4 linked regions of the Arabidopsis thaliana genome follow. The protein of the gene in region 2 interacts with the protein of the main gene of each other region in a pairwise test. Each region holds a gene or a part of one and is shown on either strand. Other genes may lie near its edges. The genes, in order: AT5G62610, STY1, AT4G05170 and AT5G18037.

Region 1 (5,930 bases), on a different chromosome or scaffold from region 2:
GCTTTTGAACATATCTACACTAACCAGTCTCTTCATCATCCCTAGATCTCCATCCTTCACATCTTTGTGCTGAGCCCCATTGCATTCTATAGCAAGTGTTCTGCTCAATCACAGGCTTACCACTCCAATCACCCTTAAGCCTTGGATTCAAGTGGAGTATCCGAGGTGGCTCTTCTCCTTCCACTGCTTTCAAACCCTGAAGCTCCAACTTAAACTGTGAAACCTTCACAGCTTCATCTCCTTCCTTTAACATCGATATCTTAGGGTCCTTCTCCGAATGAGCAGCTCGTGGCTTCCCAACCACTGTAATATGTGACCCAAGAGTTAAACCACATGGAAGCTCCATGATATTCCCACGTTTCAAAAGATCAGACCCGGTTAAGGAAACAGAGAGAGAACACGAGTTTGTCCCATGTTCCTCAATCTTCTTCTTCTTCTCCTTCTCCAAAGCTTTCAACGTTTTCCCAGACTCAAGCTCTTCCCATATCTTTCGACCAACTTCCCAAGCTACCTTAGCAGATTTATGAAGCTCCACAGACCCATCTTTGCTACTCGGGTTAAACGTTTCCGGGTCGAATCTCAAACTAGAAAGGATCCGAGTCCTTCTTCTTAAACCCTGAGCCGGTGATTCCGATTGTGATTCCTGGTAAAGCAGACTCTTTAAAGGTCGAGTCGGAGCTCGTCTCTCTTGTAACTCTCTCTGACTATTGTGCTTCTCGGGTCGGGTTAACGGATCCTGAGATAAAGAACTAAGCCCGGTTTTGAAGACGAAAGGGATTTCGAATGTGATAAGAAGCATGTAGAGTAACCCAACCGCCATTAGTATCTGAACCGATCTCTGCTTGCTTAGAGAAACGAAAATGTCGAATTTCTCTAACCTCTCGAGTTTTGACAACTTGGGCTTCCTCATTCCTAAATTATACGAAGAAAAATCCAAACTTTTTTTTAACTGGAAACAGAAAACCCTAGTGATGATGATCAAAGAGGAACAGAATCTCAAAATTCAAAATTTCAAAAAACAAATAAAAATCAAATCTTGAGAGATTACGATGAACGGAGACAATCAGTAGATTGGTGGGTTACTATAAATTCTGAAAAACCCTTTGAACACGAAGAGAGAAAATTCAAGAACTTTCTATGGAAAAGACAAATCTTTAGTGAGAAAATTCAAAACCCGAAAGAAACGTAAAGTCGAAAATTTAAATCTTTAGAGAGACGTGTAAAATCGTAAGATGAACAGAAACGCGTCAGGAGAATTTGGAGAAGGAAGCAGCAAGGGGAAGAGTTAAAGCTCTCTCCTCTTTCTTAGTTAGTGCTGCTGACGTCTGAATAAACCGCCGTTTTGGTCCATCTCTCTCTCTCTCTTTTTCGAATCTTTTCTTCGCTTTTAAATCTTCTCTTTTTCCTTATTTTATTTAGTTTTCGATTAAAGTTATAGATTCGTTGGATTTATCTTTTCAAATTAAAGTAATTTTATTATTCTAGATGATTATTTCCACCACCAGTAGAATAAAAAGGAAAAACGTTATGTTTTTGTCGAATTTTAATCTTATAATTGAAGTAATAAGATTTTTAAGGTTAAGCAAATCGACCAAAAAAACAAATCGAAAAGGTTGTCTTGATTACACGAGACAGAATGTGAAATTATTAGTTAATTAGTACTATATGATTTATAAATTAAAAAAAAACAATAATAGTAGATGGAATCATATGTATTTGATTGTTTAGTAGATATGATTCTTATTTTGAAATTTAAACTATTATTGATTAATGTCTACTTAGTCGGTGCTAAATCGGCCAACTGTGTCATTCCATCACCAATGAAGTCACATAGTACTCCTATGCTCATGTTTTTATTTTTGACTTTTCTCTCTATTAATTTTCTTAATTTCATGACCAAACTGAAATGAACAGAAGAAATTGATAACAAAAAAATAGTGTTTCTTGTTTTTTTATTAGAGGTATCTTGATGAGTAGAGCAAAAAAGCTTTATGGGAAAAATGGAAAGAGAGGAATTGGGCTTCATGTGTGACACCTTTGCATCCAGGTGTCTTCTCTTTCTACACTTGTCTTTTCCACCTTTTCATTATTTCATCAAAATATAAACATATTCCACTTAATTCGATAATAAAATTAATAATTAAAAAAGTTTTGCAGAAAAACATCAATTTCTAATTTGTTGGTCTTTAAACAATTTTCTTGCTACACATTTAGAGCATTCAATGCTATAGAATTGACTTTTAAAAGTTTTAACTCAGTGAATAGTTTTAGAGCTTTTTTGTTTGTTATATACTGTATTCTTAAAAACGTTTGATATCTCTGTATTCATCATTCAAAAATACAAACTTTTATAATAAACACAACAAATGAAGGTTGAAATCATCGAAACGAAAAATGACACTCTTGGCTCCTTGTATTTTTCCGCAACTACCTTGAACATGTCATCTACCAAAAAGGCTAAAACTACATTGAACATAATAAAACTATAGCTTCTGAATTTTTAAAAATTTAACGTGAAGAACGTTGACATGCAAACAAAAAGACTAAAACACATGTCATCTATCCTTCATATTAGCGTTTTATATATTTAGCTAGAATTTTGGCTTTTGTGATTAAGCATTTAAAATTTAAATATATGGCCCATTGTCACATCCTCGATCGTATCCTACGTACCGGTGTGTGGTTCCCTTCACTTTACACAACTAACTTTCATAAAACATATGACTATGAAGTGGGAGATCTATGTTAAATAAAAAAACACTAATTGGTGAATATTATTGTAAACATAGGCGATCGAGTACTTACTAGGATGGACATATGGTACGAAGATCAAATTTTTAATCCAAACATATACGTTTTTTCCTTAAACACGTCAGAATGAAATTACCAAAGTAACATGATTTGGTTTTGCTAGTATGTATTTTTTTCTAAGAGAGATGCATTGTCCTTTGGTGTATTTAAGTTGTTCACAGTAAAATTACCAAAGTTGTTCACAGTAAAAAATAATTTAATCAAAGGATAACTAAAAGACATAATTGTGAGATTTTTATTTTTTATTTTTGATAGAAATTATTTAGGTTATTGCGCCATAATATATCTTTTCTATTCAATTTTGTTTCTAAACGAAACGAAAATTTTACCATTGTAATATTTTTTTTATAACAGAAACGGCAAAATATTTGATGTAAGCTGTGTAATTAATGAGATTTTCTGAAAGTATTGGTGATAAATCATCTTCCATTGCATACTAGTGGCGCATTATCACTACCCACATCTGTCTTACCTTCTCCGATCTCTCTCTCTATTTGTCCACCTCACACACAACCCTATAAACAAGACAAGACCTCGCAAAGCTCAAACCTTTTCCTTCTTTTTTTCTATCAAGTTCCTCACTTCTCGGATCCGGGTCCTAAATCTGGGTCAACCCTTTTTACGATCATCGGAAATGGACCCTCCACTAGTGAACGATTCCTCCTTCTCTGCAGCTAATCCTTCTTCTTACACTCTCTCCGAGATTTGGCCTTTCCCTGTAAACGACGCCGTTCGCTCTGGTCTCCGTTTAGCTGTTAACTCCGGTCGAGTCTTTACTCGCTCTGAACATTCCGGCAATAAAGACGTCTCCGCGGCTGAGGAATCTACAGTCACCGATCTAACTGCTGGCTGGGGAAGTAGAAAGACTAGAGATTTGAACTCTGAGGATGATTCTTCAAAGATGGTTTCTTCCAGCAGCAGTGGTAATGAATTGGTGAGATTTTGCACTTCAATTTTTGAAAAGTCCTGATTTTTATTTGTTGGGTCTTTTGAATGTTTGAATCTAGATCCTTTAGCTTGGTGGTGATCTAAAAATCAATGAGTCAAAGTTTAAGTCTTTGGTTTAGGGATCAAGGATTAGTTTATAGATTAGATGACTTATCTCCATTGACTTTTTGACTTAAGTTGGATTCAGCTTGAAGACCATTAGTTTGATAGATGTTGGAATGGTCAATGCTTACTTAGTGATCTTAGATTGAGAGTTTGATTTAGGATCTTAAAGCTTTCCATCTGTTTACTTTTTTAATAGAAAGAATCAGGGGATAAGAAAAGAAAACTGTGTGGATCTGAAAGTGGAAATGGAGATGGTTCGATGAGACCTGAAGGCGAAACAAGTTCGGGTGGTGGTGGAAGCAAAGCAACGGAACAGAAGAACAAACCTGAGCCACCAAAGGATTATATTCATGTGAGAGCAAGAAGAGGACAAGCTACTGACCGGCATAGTTTAGCAGAGCGAGTAATTCTTCTGCTAAAATCACCATAAATTTTATCCTCAAAAACTGTTCCTTTTATTAGAATCACAATGTTGTCTTTGACAGGCTAGAAGAGAAAAGATCAGTGAGAAGATGACAGCTCTTCAAGATATAATTCCAGGATGTAATAAGGTACATGTTCTTTTGGTCCCTGCTTGTGAATGATGTTATTATAGCCTAAAAAACATTCAACAAGATATTTCTGTTGATCAGATAATCGGAAAAGCCCTTGTGCTCGATGAGATTATCAATTATATTCAGTCATTGCAGCGGCAAGTTGAGGTAAAAGTCGTTAACACCTCTCTGTTATATGTTACAATTATACATGCCTAAGCATGGAGTTTGGTCTGCAGTTTCTATCAATGAAGCTAGAAGTTGTTAACTCGGGTGCAAGTACTGGTCCGACAATAGGAGTTTTTCCTTCCGGTGATGTAAGTCCCAAATCTAAAAGAACATAGAAAAATCTTATCTTTCTTAATCAAAGCTACTAAATCTAAAAGCTCTTGGTGTGTTGTATCAGCTCGGGACTTTACCGATTGACGTTCATCGAACAATATACGAGCAACAAGAAGCTAATGAAACCCGAGTATCTCAACCGGAGTGGCTCCATATGCAGGTTGATGGGAACTTTAACCGAACCACATAAAAAAGAGTCTTTCTCTGATTGATGGATGTGTTTTGTAGGCAGTAAAAATGAATGCAACCCTTTATTTTTTATCCTATGCGTGTGTATCATTTTGCTGTTATATCATAAGATAGAATATGAGAGTGACCAGAGAGATTAACACTTTATAAAACATTGTTGTATTGTCCTATTATATAACTTGTAACAATTGATTCAGTAACATATGTTGGTCTTAAATCTTGTCCTTTGTATAATCTTTATGTTATGATGAATCAATGATACGTTTTTTTTGTTGTCTTCAATTTATTGCAACAACTGAAAAAAAGTAAACAACTTCTGTCTTCAAAATAAAAGAAGAAGGATTTGACTTTAAGTCAAAGTAATTGTATCTAACGGCTGAGATTCTCTCTTCTTCATCCTCTTTCAGATCAAAATTCGATCTCTATCTCTCTTCCTCACTCAAGTTGAGGGGCGCCAAAAAAAAACCTTTTTGACAAAGAGGGAAAAAAAAAGTTTTTATTTTTATTGTTTTTGTTGGGCGAAATCGATTTGACAAAATCCCGAATTTCAGTTGGGCAAATTCTTCTATTTCTCAATCTGGGTCTTTCTCTCTGGTCGTGATTTGGTGACCGTACGAGCGAATAACGCGTAAAGATTCATAGCTATGGAGCATCAGAACGCGGTCAAAGAAGCCCTAAACGCACTGTATCATCACCCGGATGATACAGTGCGTGTGCACGCTGATCGCTGGCTTCAGAACTTCCAAGGAACTCTCGATGCTTGGCAGGCGAGTTTTTTCTTTTCGATTTCAATTATTTAATCTCGATTTGTTTAGGTTCGATTTGTTCTTCCTTGTTTTGTAGCACTTGTGCTAGAGTTTAATGTTCGATTTTCAGCTACTGTAGACCATATAGGTGCATAAAGTTTCATCCTTTAGTCAATTTGTATTAGTGATTTGCTCTTTAAGGTCATATAGGCTTATGCATAGCAGAAATCTCAAAATTTCAGTACGTCTAAGTTCA
Region 2 (5,151 bases):
TGTTTTATATAAACACTTGCCCCCAAAATAAAAATATTTTTTCTTTAATAATAAAAATAATAAATAACGACTTAGAAAAAAAGAAGAGAATGTTATGGACAAAAAAAGAGACTGTGGTTAGACTGAAAAACGCGTGCAGAGAGGCCGCGACAGTCTTATCATCAATTAAATTTCTTCTTAATTAGGGTATCCTAACTTGCATTTTACTCTCAGTTACGTTCTACACAGTATTACTTAATTATTCATATTATACACGTATAGGTTTTTAATGCATACGTGCAACGTTGACATGTAGAACAGATTTTGAAAAGAGAAATTGTTTAGTATAAGTGTTGTTTCGATAACATCCTAAGTTTCGTCATAGTCCAAATCTACTCCAGATTCATAGGCTTCTCAGTTCCATCCATCTCTTATTCAAATTCCATACAAATTAAAAGTTTTTTTTTGTGAAACTCCGTTATAAATTTTGTGTGTTGGTTGCTGGTTGGTTCTGCCTGAAACTATTATTCCGAAATGATGCTTATACTTATTTGACATTTATATATTTTTGTAATGTAGCAAATAAAGAATAGACTACTGGAGAAAAAAGGTCTTTTTTTTTTTTTTGTCAAAAGAGAAAAAAGGTCATTGTCTCGATTGTAATGTATCCATCACAACCCCTTGAATTAATTGATTCCCTCTATTAATCTAGTATACTCGAATATTTTGTGGTTTTTTACTTACCTCTAAAACTATATCGATATATAATGAACAACCTAACTATTGTTTTCAAATTGAGAGCAATAATAATCATTCGATTATTAACTTAAATTATTGGATTTGTAAATTAAATCAAGAACCGGTACGGAAGCGTAGGGCGGCGAGGCAATGCTTTTACCCTGTCTCAAACTATTCATTATTCCCATTTTGAATCTTAATACTTTTGAAATGTCTCATTTAACCCCTTCTACATTAGTCAACTCTCTCTACTCTTTTGGCAAAATCCTTTTAAACGTCCCCATCTTTTACTTTATTTTTATTTCATGTCCTAACTTTTTTATTTATATGACACCCATACATACTTCTCTAGATTTCGGATTTATCGGGACATATTTTTTCGTGCCGTTATTCTCAGGCAATTCAAAGGATAATACCTAAAAAAATACTCAGCTAATTATAATGATTAGTTAAATTAGGATCCATGATGCTCACGGCACGGGCATAGAGGTGTGTTTGTCTGTATATAAATTCTGTAAACATTTAGTAGTACTATTATACAAAAAGATAATGCAGTAACATAGGGCACCTCAACAAAATCGTACGTTTGTCTCTCTACAAGAGAGAGTATGTTTACGTGCATTTTTATTTATATATAAAATATTACTGTGATATACTACTAGTATATACAGAAATGTGTATATCATAATGTTTTTCGTTTCCTCGGAAACATGGACAAAAGCATCTGCTTTTCAGCTACAAACTTTAAACACTTAATTTAAGCCACAGGTGCACCCAAATTAATATTTTTTAAAAGAAGATTATGGGCTAATGGATGATTAATGCCTATAATTTGCAAATCCTCCTTACTTTAAAGTAAGTAGTTAGATTATTTAATCCACATGTTTATCTATTTGATGAGGATTTTTGAAACCTTGAAGTACCTTACATTTTTTCAGGCATTTTTAGTTTGCTGATGCTCCTAACTCGTAGACAATAATATATTTGCAGCATTTGTCACAATTAGTCTCATAGTCACTCATATATACACAAAATGAAATAAAAATGAATGGACCTATGGACTTTTGACAAGGTTTTGTAGTCAGTTCTAGATCATGATTAGGAGGTCTAATTAATAGGTCCCGAAATATATATAGAACTATCTTAGGATAATCAAAAATAGTATTCTGATACCGTAATGATATTATTTTTACTCCTTTTTAAGGAAAATTAGTTATTCACATTCCACCATTTATACATATAAAAATTTCATATATGTAAGAAAAAAAGAAGAAAGAAAAAAAGCGGGTTTCCCGGAATGAAAAGGACCAAGAGAGAAAAATCCATTTTATGCTAACGTGGCAGCATAATAACCGCCCGATTATATATCAACGATAAGAGATGAATTGTTTTCATTTTGTAACAACAAAACATGAGAGAAACAAAATTATATTTTTGCAAAATCTGGAAAAACAAAACAAAGAAACAAACAAATGAAGAAGAGATGAGAGGAGACAGAGAATTAAATTAGAGGAGCAGAAGAGAGAGAGAGAGAGATATAGAGATTAATAAGGTCATGGCGGCGTTGCAGAGCGCAAGAAAGATGATTTAAATCTCTCTTCTTCTTCTTCCTTCTTACATATCTCTGTGTGTTTCTTAAATACTCTCTCTCTCGTACCGACAAACAAGTTTTGCTTTTTCATCAGAGTCTCAAAAAGCTATTCCAACTTCAATACACTACAAACCCAGAGAATGAATTCAACCTAAAAACCCTAGAAATCCTCTAAGATCTAGAGTGAGAAAGTTAGAGTGTATAGAACTACAAAACATAGGATCTTTGGTTTTGGGTTTTGTTCCATTTTCTTGATTGGTTAGTGGGTGAGTGGTGGTTATGGGTGGTGGTTGTTGTCTTGGTGAATGGCGGGGTTTTTCTCGCTAGACGGTGGTGGAGGAGGAGGCGGAGGTGGAGGTAACAACCAAGAAGATCACCGGAGCAACACAAATCCTCCTCCGCCTGTATCAGAAGCTTGGCTCTGGTATAGAAACCCTAACGTTAACGCAAACGCAAACACAAACGTTAACGCAAACGCTCCTTCTTCGTCAAACGCTGCTTTAGGAACACTTGAGTTATGGCAAAACCACAATCAGCAAGAGATCATGTTTCAGCATCAGCAACATCAGCAAAGGTTGGATCTTTACTCTTCCGCCGCAGGTTTAGGTGTTGGACCAAGTAATCATAACCAATTCGATATCTCCGGCGAAACTTCAACCGCCGGCGCCGGAAGAGCTGCGGCGATGATGATGATTCGTAGTGGTGGTAGCGGAGGAGGAAGTGGTGGTGTGAGCTGTCAAGACTGTGGGAATCAAGCGAAGAAAGATTGTTCTCACATGAGGTGTAGAACTTGTTGTAAAAGCCGTGGCTTCGAGTGTTCTACTCACGTGAGAAGCACGTGGGTCCCTGCTGCTAAACGCCGTGAGAGACAACAGCAATTAGCTACGGTCCAGCCTCAAACTCAGCTGCCTCGCGGTGAGAGCGTTCCTAAACGCCACCGTGAAAATTTACCGGCAACTTCATCGTCTCTTGTCTGCACTCGCATACCTTCTCATTCAGGTATATGTCACTGTAATGTGAAATATTTATTTATGTGTATATAAATATATATGTTTATTATTATATGGTCGTGAGATAATGAAATGCAAGCAGCATTTTTTATAATTTATATAAGTAACGAATTGGGATCAGCTTCTAGAGTAAAAAAAGAAAAACCCTATTTTGATTTATAAGTTTTCCAAAATAAGTTTTGTTTTTTATTTTGTGATTTAATTGTGAAAATACTGTGTTGGAGTAAACACTGACTATTGGAATGACAGGAACAAGCTGTTCTCACAAATCTTGAAATCTGTGTTCTTTCTCTAATTCTCAGCTCCTTTTTCATAACCTTAATTTTGAAAGAAAAAATGAATATCAATGTTTTATTCTATTACGTATCTCTTAAACTTTTTTTTCTTACTCTAAATTCTAGGGCTAGAAGTTGGCAATTTCCCGGCGGAGGTGAGTTCATCGGCGGTGTTTAGGTGCGTGCGTGTGAGCTCAGTAGAAGATGGAGAAGAAGAGTTTGCTTACCAAACAGCTGTAAGCATTGGTGGTCACATTTTCAAAGGCATTTTATACGACCTCGGTCCTGGAAGTAGTGGTGGCGGAGGCTACAACGTTGTTGCCGCCGGTGAGAGCTCCTCTGGTGGTGGTGGAGCTCAACAGCTGAATCTCATAACAGCTGGCTCTGTAACCGTTGCTACCGCTTCTTCCTCTACTCCAAACCTCGGTGGTATTGGCAGCTCATCAGCCGCGGCAGCCACGTACATTGATCCAGCCGCTCTTTATCCAACTCCGATCAATACATTCATGGCCGGTACACAATTCTTTCCCAACCCAAGATCATGAGGAAAATCTGACATAAAAGCAACATAACTCTTTTGAATTCTTAGAATAGAATTAGGGTTTATAAACGTTAATTGTCGGATCATATTATATAAAAGAGTATGCAGAAGTGGGGAAGTGAATCTGTTTATGCTTCCCCTACTTTTAGACACTCAAAGTTGTTGCAAGTTTTAGGGGTTTTTAAATGGAAATTCAATTCAAATAATACCATTGTCTTTTTATATGGTTTTGTGAGGATATAGTGTTGTGTATCATTTAAATGTTAGGAGCACAATATAGCTCTTGTTGTCTGAATCTTTGTTTCATTAATGTGTCTGTTTCTTGTTTGTGAAACACGTAACCTTAGAATCCGGGGAAAATGTTTTTCATCTTTATATAACACCTTTTGTGTCTTCTTTCTTCTATTCAATATAAAGAAGAATTCATTACATTTGTACCATACATTATAGTACAATTTCATATTTTTCAACCCATTTTATTTTTTATTTTTTTCAACCATGGTTTCCGTTACGACAGAATATGGTCTGCCCATCCCATGCATTTAATGGTTTCTAAAGTGTATTATTTGTTAGTTACTAGTAATTGATGTATGCCATAATTGACATGTGATAGAATCAGAGAAGATGACTAGAAGAGCGACATGTATAGATGTGACATGAGGGTGCGTTCTACAATGTACGTTAATCCCAATTAGTTACTTCTCCCGCCGTTGCCCACACCATTAGTTCTTTCATTACTAGTTTACTATAATGATTTAGTTAATTTCTACTATCAGGTTTTTGATTTTTCTATTCTTTCACATTGACTAGAAGTCTTGAACAATACTACTAATCTTTCTCTATTTTAAAATAAGTCTTTTCATGATCTTGAGGGAATGTTTCTGTTTTAAAAAGGGTTTTTAATGATTTAAATGTAACGTTTGTCAAGAAATGATCTCATTGTCTCTTTAAAATTACTTAAATAGAAATTTAATATAAAATATAATTTAAAAGTTAACATCCTTTGTAAGAATACAA
Region 3 (4,467 bases), on a different chromosome or scaffold from region 2:
ATTACGTACACACTACTGATTATCCTTTACATACATACATACATCATATACATACATCAAATGTATAAATTAATCATACTATAGTGAACAATATATTTTAACATAGATCGTGAAGATAATAAAAAATATACGTGTGATTAGGTCAAAGGCCGAGGACACTTAAACCATTAACACTTTTATAAGTTTTTATTCTTCTTCTTGTTAATCGCTTCACTTTTTCTAAGTGTTCTTCCCACTCCACGCGCGAGATAATCTAAACTTTAGATTTTAATTAGGTATAATGATATAACAAATTTCATGATATGACAAGGAGGAGGTTAGACCATGGTCGTTTAATTGTCATGTCCTATAAGTCAACAAAGAAGTTTTTGTATGTGCTTAAGGTTTAAACGTCATATGGTTGACCGAAACTTTAATTAGCTTTTAAAGATTCTATCAAACGGAAGTCACATCCAAATTTACTTTGATCTCTATAAATTAAAGAACACTTACCAGTTACCAAACCTAAAATACACTATATTTCTAAATCTAATCAAATCTTAAACTCTACAACTACAGTTTGATGACATGATTTAAAAAAATTATGATGAGATCGATAGTACTATATGGACTTTTTCAAACTAAACTAAGTCTTACTTTAACAGGAAAAACTTATAATTAAGTAGTTAGACATGTTTAGTTTAGGGATTATGTATCCCTCGAAGCCAAATTGACTTAGACCGCAAAGCTGATTATTTTATAAAAAGAAAGGAAAAAAGTAGATATACATATAATAATCATATAATATGAGATTAGATAGGTTAACCAAATATTTCAATTAACTAATAGTGGAATTGTGGTTAAGGAGTCAAATCAGATGACATGAGCATATATTGTATGTATATTAAAAGAAGATTTGGGAACATTTCCAAAGTAAAAATGAAGACAACCCCTAAAACCCAAGAGAATTCGATTGGGTGGTATGACTTAATCCACACAAAACGTATTTACCTATTACTAATTGTACTTATATGTCAACAGTTGACTTATTGTTATTTATTTATTCATGTGAATTTCCTCTTATTCATTTATTTCGAATCACCTTTTATGTCCTTTTTGTTATATTTTTTTTTTTGCAACATTTATTATTAACACCAGACCAAACCGTTTCAGATTTTTTTTTCTTTTTTGATAAACTCTATCGGCTGATCCGCTCAGTCCCGGTAAACACGCACTAAAATACTTCAGAGTGGACTTCTCTCCAAAAAACTACCACACTGTTTCAAAATTCCTTGCAAGATTTTGTCAAATAATATTTTTTTTTTTTAAATCGAAATCGGTATTTCTGTAGTCTAATGTTATTAATTTGTGCACATTTTTAAACGTAAAATTAGAAGAAAACCAAATAAATAGAGATTACCTAACCATTTTAAAAAGAAAACCTTTCACCAAAATCCAAATATCCTTTTTGCTTTATCTAATTCCTTCAAACATGAATATTTTCAAATCATTCCAAAAAAGTAGATATTCGTGTTTTTATTAAACAATAAAACTTGTTCAACGTGGACATTTAGTTTAGCCTATCAAGAGCAAATATATAATTCTGATTTACGAAAGAGATATTTGCATTGTGTTACAATATTCTTACCTTTTAAATCAATTCAGAATTTTTTTTTTCTTTAATTTTGTCAAACATGTTTTACAAAAGCATATTAACGTAAAATACTTTTTGATTATTTTTTATTTTATTTATATCCTGTCAACTTCCTGTTCCTGTATTTAGTATTTGCAAATGATTTTTAATAAATAGATTACTCTATAATTTAACGTAAACACGAACACAAGAGTGTGTCCAATGAGATGCGTTATTTTCATAATCATCAATAGGTATAGAGACGTATTATGGTTAAGAGGGTAGCTAGATATATTATTTAGTAATTGTAGTTTTCCGTTTAAATTATAATTTTGATGGACTCATGCCTACATATAAATACACTATGTAATAAACATCATGTCTCATGCAACTTCGACATTAAATTCCAAAGTAAACTACACAATTAAGAACATGACGGAAGAGTTTGAGATCGCAGGAATCTCCACCGGAGCTTGGTGGAGCTCGCCAACAAACACCGCCGCAGTATTCTCTGGCTACTCGCTGCCATGTTCCACTGAGATTAGCCCTGATGTCACAAATTTCGGATGGCAAAACTTCGATAACAAGATTAACGATCATAATGATGGTTGTATGAACATGTAAGTCCACATGCATACATACATTAACATACAAAGTAATAATATTGAACTTTCTTAAATTTATATTCTTTCTTTTATATTTCTTGTAGGCATAATAGTTTCTTCGAAGGACTATTAATCGATCCTAACGATCAATTACTACCGGATCCATGGTCCAAAAGTACAATTCCTAACGCTAAATCTGAGCTCCTTGAAAACTTCCCATTCTTAGATAACATGTTCTTGGTCGATTCAGAAGCTGAATCTTTGTTGGATCATGAAATCAGAAACCATAAGTCGTCTAAGGAGCAAATTACACAAGACTACAAGAATCTTACTTCAAAGGCACGTAACAAACATAAAAACCTAACTATTTTTGTTGTGACTAATACTTAGAGGTAATTAACATTACAAAAGATGTGATGATTCTTTCAGAGGAGTGAAGAATTAGAAGAGAACAGCGATGAGTATTCACCGCGATTACTAAAAAGACCGAGACTCGAGACACTATCTCCATTGCCAAGCTTCAAAGTTCGTAAAGAAAAACTCGGAGATAGAATCACTGCGCTTCAGCAACTGGTTTCTCCATTTGGCAAGGTAAATTAAAACAACATTACTCTAAGTATTTTACGCATGTTTAATCTTTGATTTCTTCTTATTTAAGCTCAAAAGATTTGTCTTCTAAACTCTTTGCAGACAGATACAGCTTCTGTTCTCAACGAAGCTGTAGAGTACATAAAGTTTCTTCAAGAACAAGTCACTGTAAGTTCAGATTCTTGATTTTTCATTTGCAGTCAAAATCAAATCAATTAATTAACAATTCGTTTGATTCTTTAATTTAAAAATTAGGTATTGAGTAATCCAGAACAGAACACCATAGGATCTGTTCAACAACAGCAGGTACTTAAAAATTAGTTATATGTTATAACAACTCTCTTTTCTTGTCCTTTTGCTTGTGACATCAAGAATCTTTTCAAAACTAATCATCACCAATTAATGATTCGTATAATTAATAGTGTTCAAACAAGAAATCTATCAATACTCAAGGAGAAGTAGAAGAAGACGAATGTAGTCCAAGAAGATATGTAGATCTTTCGAGCCGTGGACTATGTCTAATGCCGATCTCAGCTTCATATCCCGTGGCTGCAGCTGCGGCTTCGGCTGCAGAGATGAACGTACATCTGGTTTCTGGCATCTTCCATTCTTTGTAAACTTATAAACTAAATACGTAGATACATAAACAAACAAAGTAATCTTCCGCAAACAGGGGATCTTGTAAAGTTTTATGTCCCTTTTTAATTTATACAGAAATGTAAATGTCCTGTAATACTTCAAAATCATATATTGTTTGTTTGCGTACGTTTACTATTTTTCTCTAAATGAACCTACTATTTGAAGCAAAATAAATTTGTTAATTATAAACGTAAATGTCAAACTAAACCGAAGGTTTTGCATTTGGATTATAAAATACAATATAAAAACCTGCAAATAATTTTTTTTTTTTTTTTTGAATAAACCTGAAGTTTAGTGTATGTTGCACAACGGTTTAAATTGAGGCCAACCAGAAAATGTTTAATTCCTTTGTAAATGAAAATTTCTCATCTAAATACGAATTAGATAATCGTATTGCCGGCCTTAAAAATATGTGGATTCCAAAGTAAATGTATATATAACCCATTAGTTTAACTAGAAAAAGGTTTTATATAATTAGCCTCTTTTCGATCTCTTATTGCTTTTTTTTTCCTTCTTTTTGTATTAGATTTCTTTCTCGAAGTTTTAACACTCGAGCAGACCATTTAGCAAAAAAAGCTAAGAGTAGAAATGTTTTTTTTCTCATGTAAGCACGTCGGTTCCCGAATGACTCTTCCTAGCGGATAATTTTTTTCTAATAACTTAATAAAAATAGTATTTGACTGGAAAAGAGGGGCATCTCAAACCTTCCACCTACAAACCCTTTACCAACCTTTCTAAACAATATTAGCGGCCCTTAGATGATGAAAGAATTTGAGGTTCCAAGCTCAACTTTTCCAGCTTGAACTCAGAGCCAACCCTGCATGAACATTACGTGTAAACCAATTGATGAGTCCCAAATAATTGACTTTTTCAGTTGGAAGATTCTTAGCAAACTGCAAAGTAATGTTGTGTACTTTATTATTTTAGCTTGTATGATCAAGAGATTTGGAAATAGGAGAAGGTGAGGTTTAACAAGAAACACTTTATACCAAAAATAGCTACTTTGTGTCCATTGGTACAACT
Region 4 (3,594 bases), on a different chromosome or scaffold from region 2:
TAAGCGTGGGATACAGAAGTCAACAAGCAGACCTGTTGGCTCTTTCACCTGAGACTCCTCGCCACCACCAAGCTGGACAAACATACGGCTCAAACACACTTTGACAAATGAAGTCTTCTTCTTGTAACATATCTTCACAGTAGCAACAGTTTTTCCCTCGGACTTATTCACTGCAACTATGATGACATCCCTAAGTCCAACATAGCGTGATTCCTTACGAGACAGGCTAGACAGGCCCTCGTAAACTCCCTACCACACAAAAAAAAAAGGTTGAATAAGATTAGATCAAAACTTTGTCATTGATCTTTGAAAATTTCGAAATTTATCTCACAACACTTTACCTCTCCAACATTATCAAGGTCTGGACTGAACACATGGAGTCTTGCACCCACCGGTTGTTTAATCAACAGCTTAAACGCTTCATCCAAACTCTTAGTCTCAATCACTTCTCCTTTCATGGGCACGCGGGGTATGTGACAAGCAAATGGGGGAGCCTTGAATGTACATCCCACATGTGCCCAATGTTCTCTTCTCGGTAGCCCTTTCTTGAAAGCACATTCAAGGCAGTCTTTGACAGTGAGTGGTTGCTCCCTCTCCCTGCACATCTTACCTCTTATTCCAGACATTTTCCACCATATACTGATGCAAGTTTTCGATAGTGAACTGAGAGCTTGGTTCATCCATTTCTCCCTGGTCGTCTTCCTTCCCAGCATTATCCACCAAATACTGAGCTGAGACGCATCTGCAAGACAAAAAAAAAATGAAAATGTTGTAGTCAATTCATATGACTCTTTCAAAGGATTAGACTATATTAAAAAGGGAGTAAACTACTATCAGCTAAAATCAATCACAGTATCTCTTAACGATGCGAATAAAGTAATGTTCTCTAGAACAAGATTTGATTCATTTACCGTAATCTTCTTGCTCACTACTTGCTTTTACGCAATCTGGATGACAGAGGCCACGCGTCTTTGCCATAGATTGCATGAATCGCTGAATCATATTCATCTTCGATTACTTATCCCTGGTTTCAAGTAGAATCCAGCAGAAGAACACATTCAGAAATCCAGTAGAGTCAAGCAGATAAGGCAAAAGGAAAAACAAAAACAAGACCTAACTAGCGAAAACCATAAACATGGTTTCAAGTTTTGACATAAACACAACCATTTCTAGTTGCAGAGGAAAAATCGTCGAACAAGAAGCTTTAGAGTAAACCAAAGTAACAATGATAGCTTCCATTAACAAAGAACAACTCTAACGTTAAAAAGGATTCAAATCATTCATCCAAAAAAAAAAGTTCAAACCCTAAAGTTTATCTCTGTTCACTAATAGCACTGAGAAAGGCCAAGTCACGGAGTAGAATCGGTAACAAATCCAAAACAAGCTAAAAGAATCCAACAGAGAGAGAAAATTGAGAGAAATTACCGGAGACACAGAGAGACGAGAATCAGAAGGAGAAGACATTCGCAATCGCCGTCGCGTCGAGAGAAACTCAGAGAATGTTCGCGAAACAAACTCTCACAGTCGTCGCGAAGATTTCCCCTCAGCTTTGTCCCGAAACGTGTCGCCTTTTTAAGACTTCAACTTTAGTCCTCAAGACGACGACGTTTGAAACTTTCCTTAAAACGTTGCCGTTTTTATGACATTGCCAATGTTTTTAAAAGTCTTTTTAACAACATCGTTTTTGCCTGTTTATTTAAGGGCAACAATTATAGTTTAACAACAATTTTCTTTTAGGCTCCAATGATGATGATCCAACATTTTGTTTTTCCGAGTTAGACATCGACTTATTCGTTGTAAATAGATTTTTTCTCTTTCTTCTTGAAAGAGTACTTGTTCTAAAAGTTTAGAGAGTGGATACCATTTTTTGTGCAACCGATCACGATCATGTCAATGCATTTTTTGGAGAGCAAGAAAATATTTGAGGCATAAGCTTCTTCAAGTACTAATACAAGTATCTCTCCATATCAGAAGAGCAAGAAATCTTCCAGTCTTTGAACATTATTTAGATAAGTAAAAGAATAATCTTGTTTTTTAGTTTGTAAAAAGATATAAGACAAAATAAGTTTAAAAAGAAAATAGTAGACAAAATATCATACGCTAAAACCAACATTACAAATTTGAAAAGAAAAAATGTGATATTGGCTTACTTATCTAATTTTAAGAATATTGGCTTTGAATTACATGGATATATTTCCTTTTTAAAGAATCGTTTTCCTAATATATTAAAAATCCTTAAAATCCACATATATATACGAAATCACCTTTTCTATTTGTCTACCTGAAAGTTTCAAGTCTTCAACGCGTTTATTATTGTTTTTCAGTTTTGCTCTAAAGATCATTTGTTGTTCCCCTTGGATTATTGCTATAATATATAGATCCTTAACTTTTTGTCTGATTTGCGTTTTCTTTGTCTCATAGAACAAGAAAAGAATATGTCGATGGTTAAGTACTACGATAAAGAGGAACATGTTGGGTTTTGGTTTCATCCTTCTGCCCAAGAACTCATCATCCGTTATATCGGGCCTAAGGTTACCAAAAGATCAAATAAAGAATTTGAATTAGAAGACAAGTTTGACATCTATGCCAAAGAGCCGTGGCGGTTGTCTCACACCGAGACTAACTTTTTGGAACCTAATGAATGGTTCTAGTTCGTGAAAGTGAATCATCTCTCTGAAAACGTTACTGGAAAACGCATCAGCCGCAAAGTCAAAGGAGAGACGGTTGATGGATGTTGGAAAGGCCATGGGAAGTTGAGTGATGTCGTGTTGGAAGATACCGGTGCAGTGATTGGGAAGAAGTCTAAGTTTCTACGTCAAAGGTGAGAGACAAGCCAGTGGTTGGACCATGACAGAATACTATCTCGAAAACGGTGGCTCATTATTCCATGTTCAAGTTCTCTGCCACCTTAAAGGACCATGATTATGTGTCTTGGTAAATTTTCAGTGAAGAGGATAATAACTTCTACTTCTATCTTATTTTACTTCAATTTTGTGTCTAGTTTGATATTTCCCTTTGCATAATTTATTTAAATTCCTCATAAAAACTTTAGGAAAATCTCGTATATTCTTGTTTATTTAAAGACATGTAGATCATTATTTTTATGAGGAGTTTGTAACTGCTCACCTTCTTGTTTTCACAAACGAAAAAATATTTTCTTGTTTTGAGGATCAAAGAGATTATCTCATCTAATATATGAGATATTAATAATGATCAGGCCCATCCATGCCTATGAAGGAAAAAGAGAAACTTTGGCCTACGAAATGGATAAGAAATTGGTTAAATTAATGGGAGATTTGCAAAACTATATTTTTTGACTACCTTTTTGCCATAATACTCTTTTATATTATTTATTTTTAAAAATATCTTTTTTCTTGAACAGAATGACCAAATTACCCTCATTTAATAATAACAAGTACTTGGAAACTTTCAATTTCCCGCCAAAAAAAAAAATTCCGGCAAACTTTTTTTCCCGCCAAAAAAAAACTTTTCCGCCAAAAATTTTTCTCGTAAAATTTTTTTCCCAGCCAAAAAATGCTTTTAAAAAACCTTGTAAATTTTTTAAAAACTCTTTAAAAAACCTTGTAAAGTTTT

The links.
Region 1: the proteins of STY1 (region 2) and AT5G62610 interact in a two-hybrid assay, tested with the Arabidopsis thaliana proteins (one large-scale study listed by BioGRID).
Region 3: the proteins of STY1 (region 2) and AT4G05170 interact in a two-hybrid assay, tested with the Arabidopsis thaliana proteins (one large-scale study listed by BioGRID).
Region 4: the proteins of STY1 (region 2) and AT5G18037 interact in a two-hybrid assay, tested with the Arabidopsis thaliana proteins (one large-scale study listed by BioGRID).

The regions. Positions count from the first base shown.
Region 1 is NC_003076.8:25,132,116-25,138,045, reverse strand, and holds AT5G62610 (basic helix-loop-helix (bHLH) DNA-binding superfamily protein), read left to right. Parts: upstream 1-1,980; 5' UTR 1,981-2,047; intron 2,048-3,139; exon of another isoform or gene 3,140-3,165; 5' UTR 3,166-3,445; coding exon 3,446-3,745; intron 3,746-4,060; coding exon 4,061-4,267; intron 4,268-4,349; coding exon 4,350-4,415; intron 4,416-4,496; coding exon 4,497-4,565; intron 4,566-4,636; coding exon 4,637-4,714; intron 4,715-4,803; coding exon 4,804-4,929; 3' UTR 4,930-5,198; downstream 5,199-5,930. Other genes in the region: AT5G62620 (Galactosyltransferase family protein), read right to left, coding at 25-910; MOS14 (ARM repeat superfamily protein), read left to right, coding at 5,573-5,695.
Region 2 is NC_003074.8:18,961,993-18,967,143, forward strand, and holds STY1 (Lateral root primordium (LRP) protein-like protein), read left to right. Parts: upstream 1-2,136; 5' UTR 2,137-2,613; coding exon 2,614-3,307; intron 3,308-3,719; coding exon 3,720-4,138; 3' UTR 4,139-4,413; downstream 4,414-5,151. UniProt on the Arabidopsis thaliana protein: Transcription activator that binds DNA on 5'-ACTCTAC-3' and promotes auxin homeostasis-regulating gene expression (e.g. YUC genes), as well as genes affecting stamen development, cell expansion and timing of flowering.
Region 3 is NC_003075.7:2,666,945-2,671,411, reverse strand, and holds AT4G05170 (basic helix-loop-helix (bHLH) DNA-binding superfamily protein), read left to right. Parts: upstream 1-1,970; 5' UTR 1,971-1,990; coding exon 1,991-2,232; intron 2,233-2,321; coding exon 2,322-2,556; intron 2,557-2,646; coding exon 2,647-2,808; intron 2,809-2,907; coding exon 2,908-2,973; coding exon of another isoform or gene 2,974-2,991; exon of another isoform or gene 2,992-3,060; coding exon 3,061-3,111; coding exon of another isoform or gene 3,112-3,126; exon of another isoform or gene 3,127-3,227; coding exon 3,228-3,422; 3' UTR 3,423-3,614; downstream 3,615-4,467.
Region 4 is NC_003076.8:5,970,370-5,973,963, reverse strand, and holds AT5G18037 (NAC (No Apical Meristem) domain transcriptional regulator superfamily protein), read left to right. Parts: upstream 1-2,397; 5' UTR 2,398-2,435; coding exon 2,436-2,651; 3' UTR 2,652-2,863; downstream 2,864-3,594. Other genes in the region: AT5G18040 (target of trans acting-siR480/255 protein), read right to left, coding at 1-249, 342-742, 912-1,008.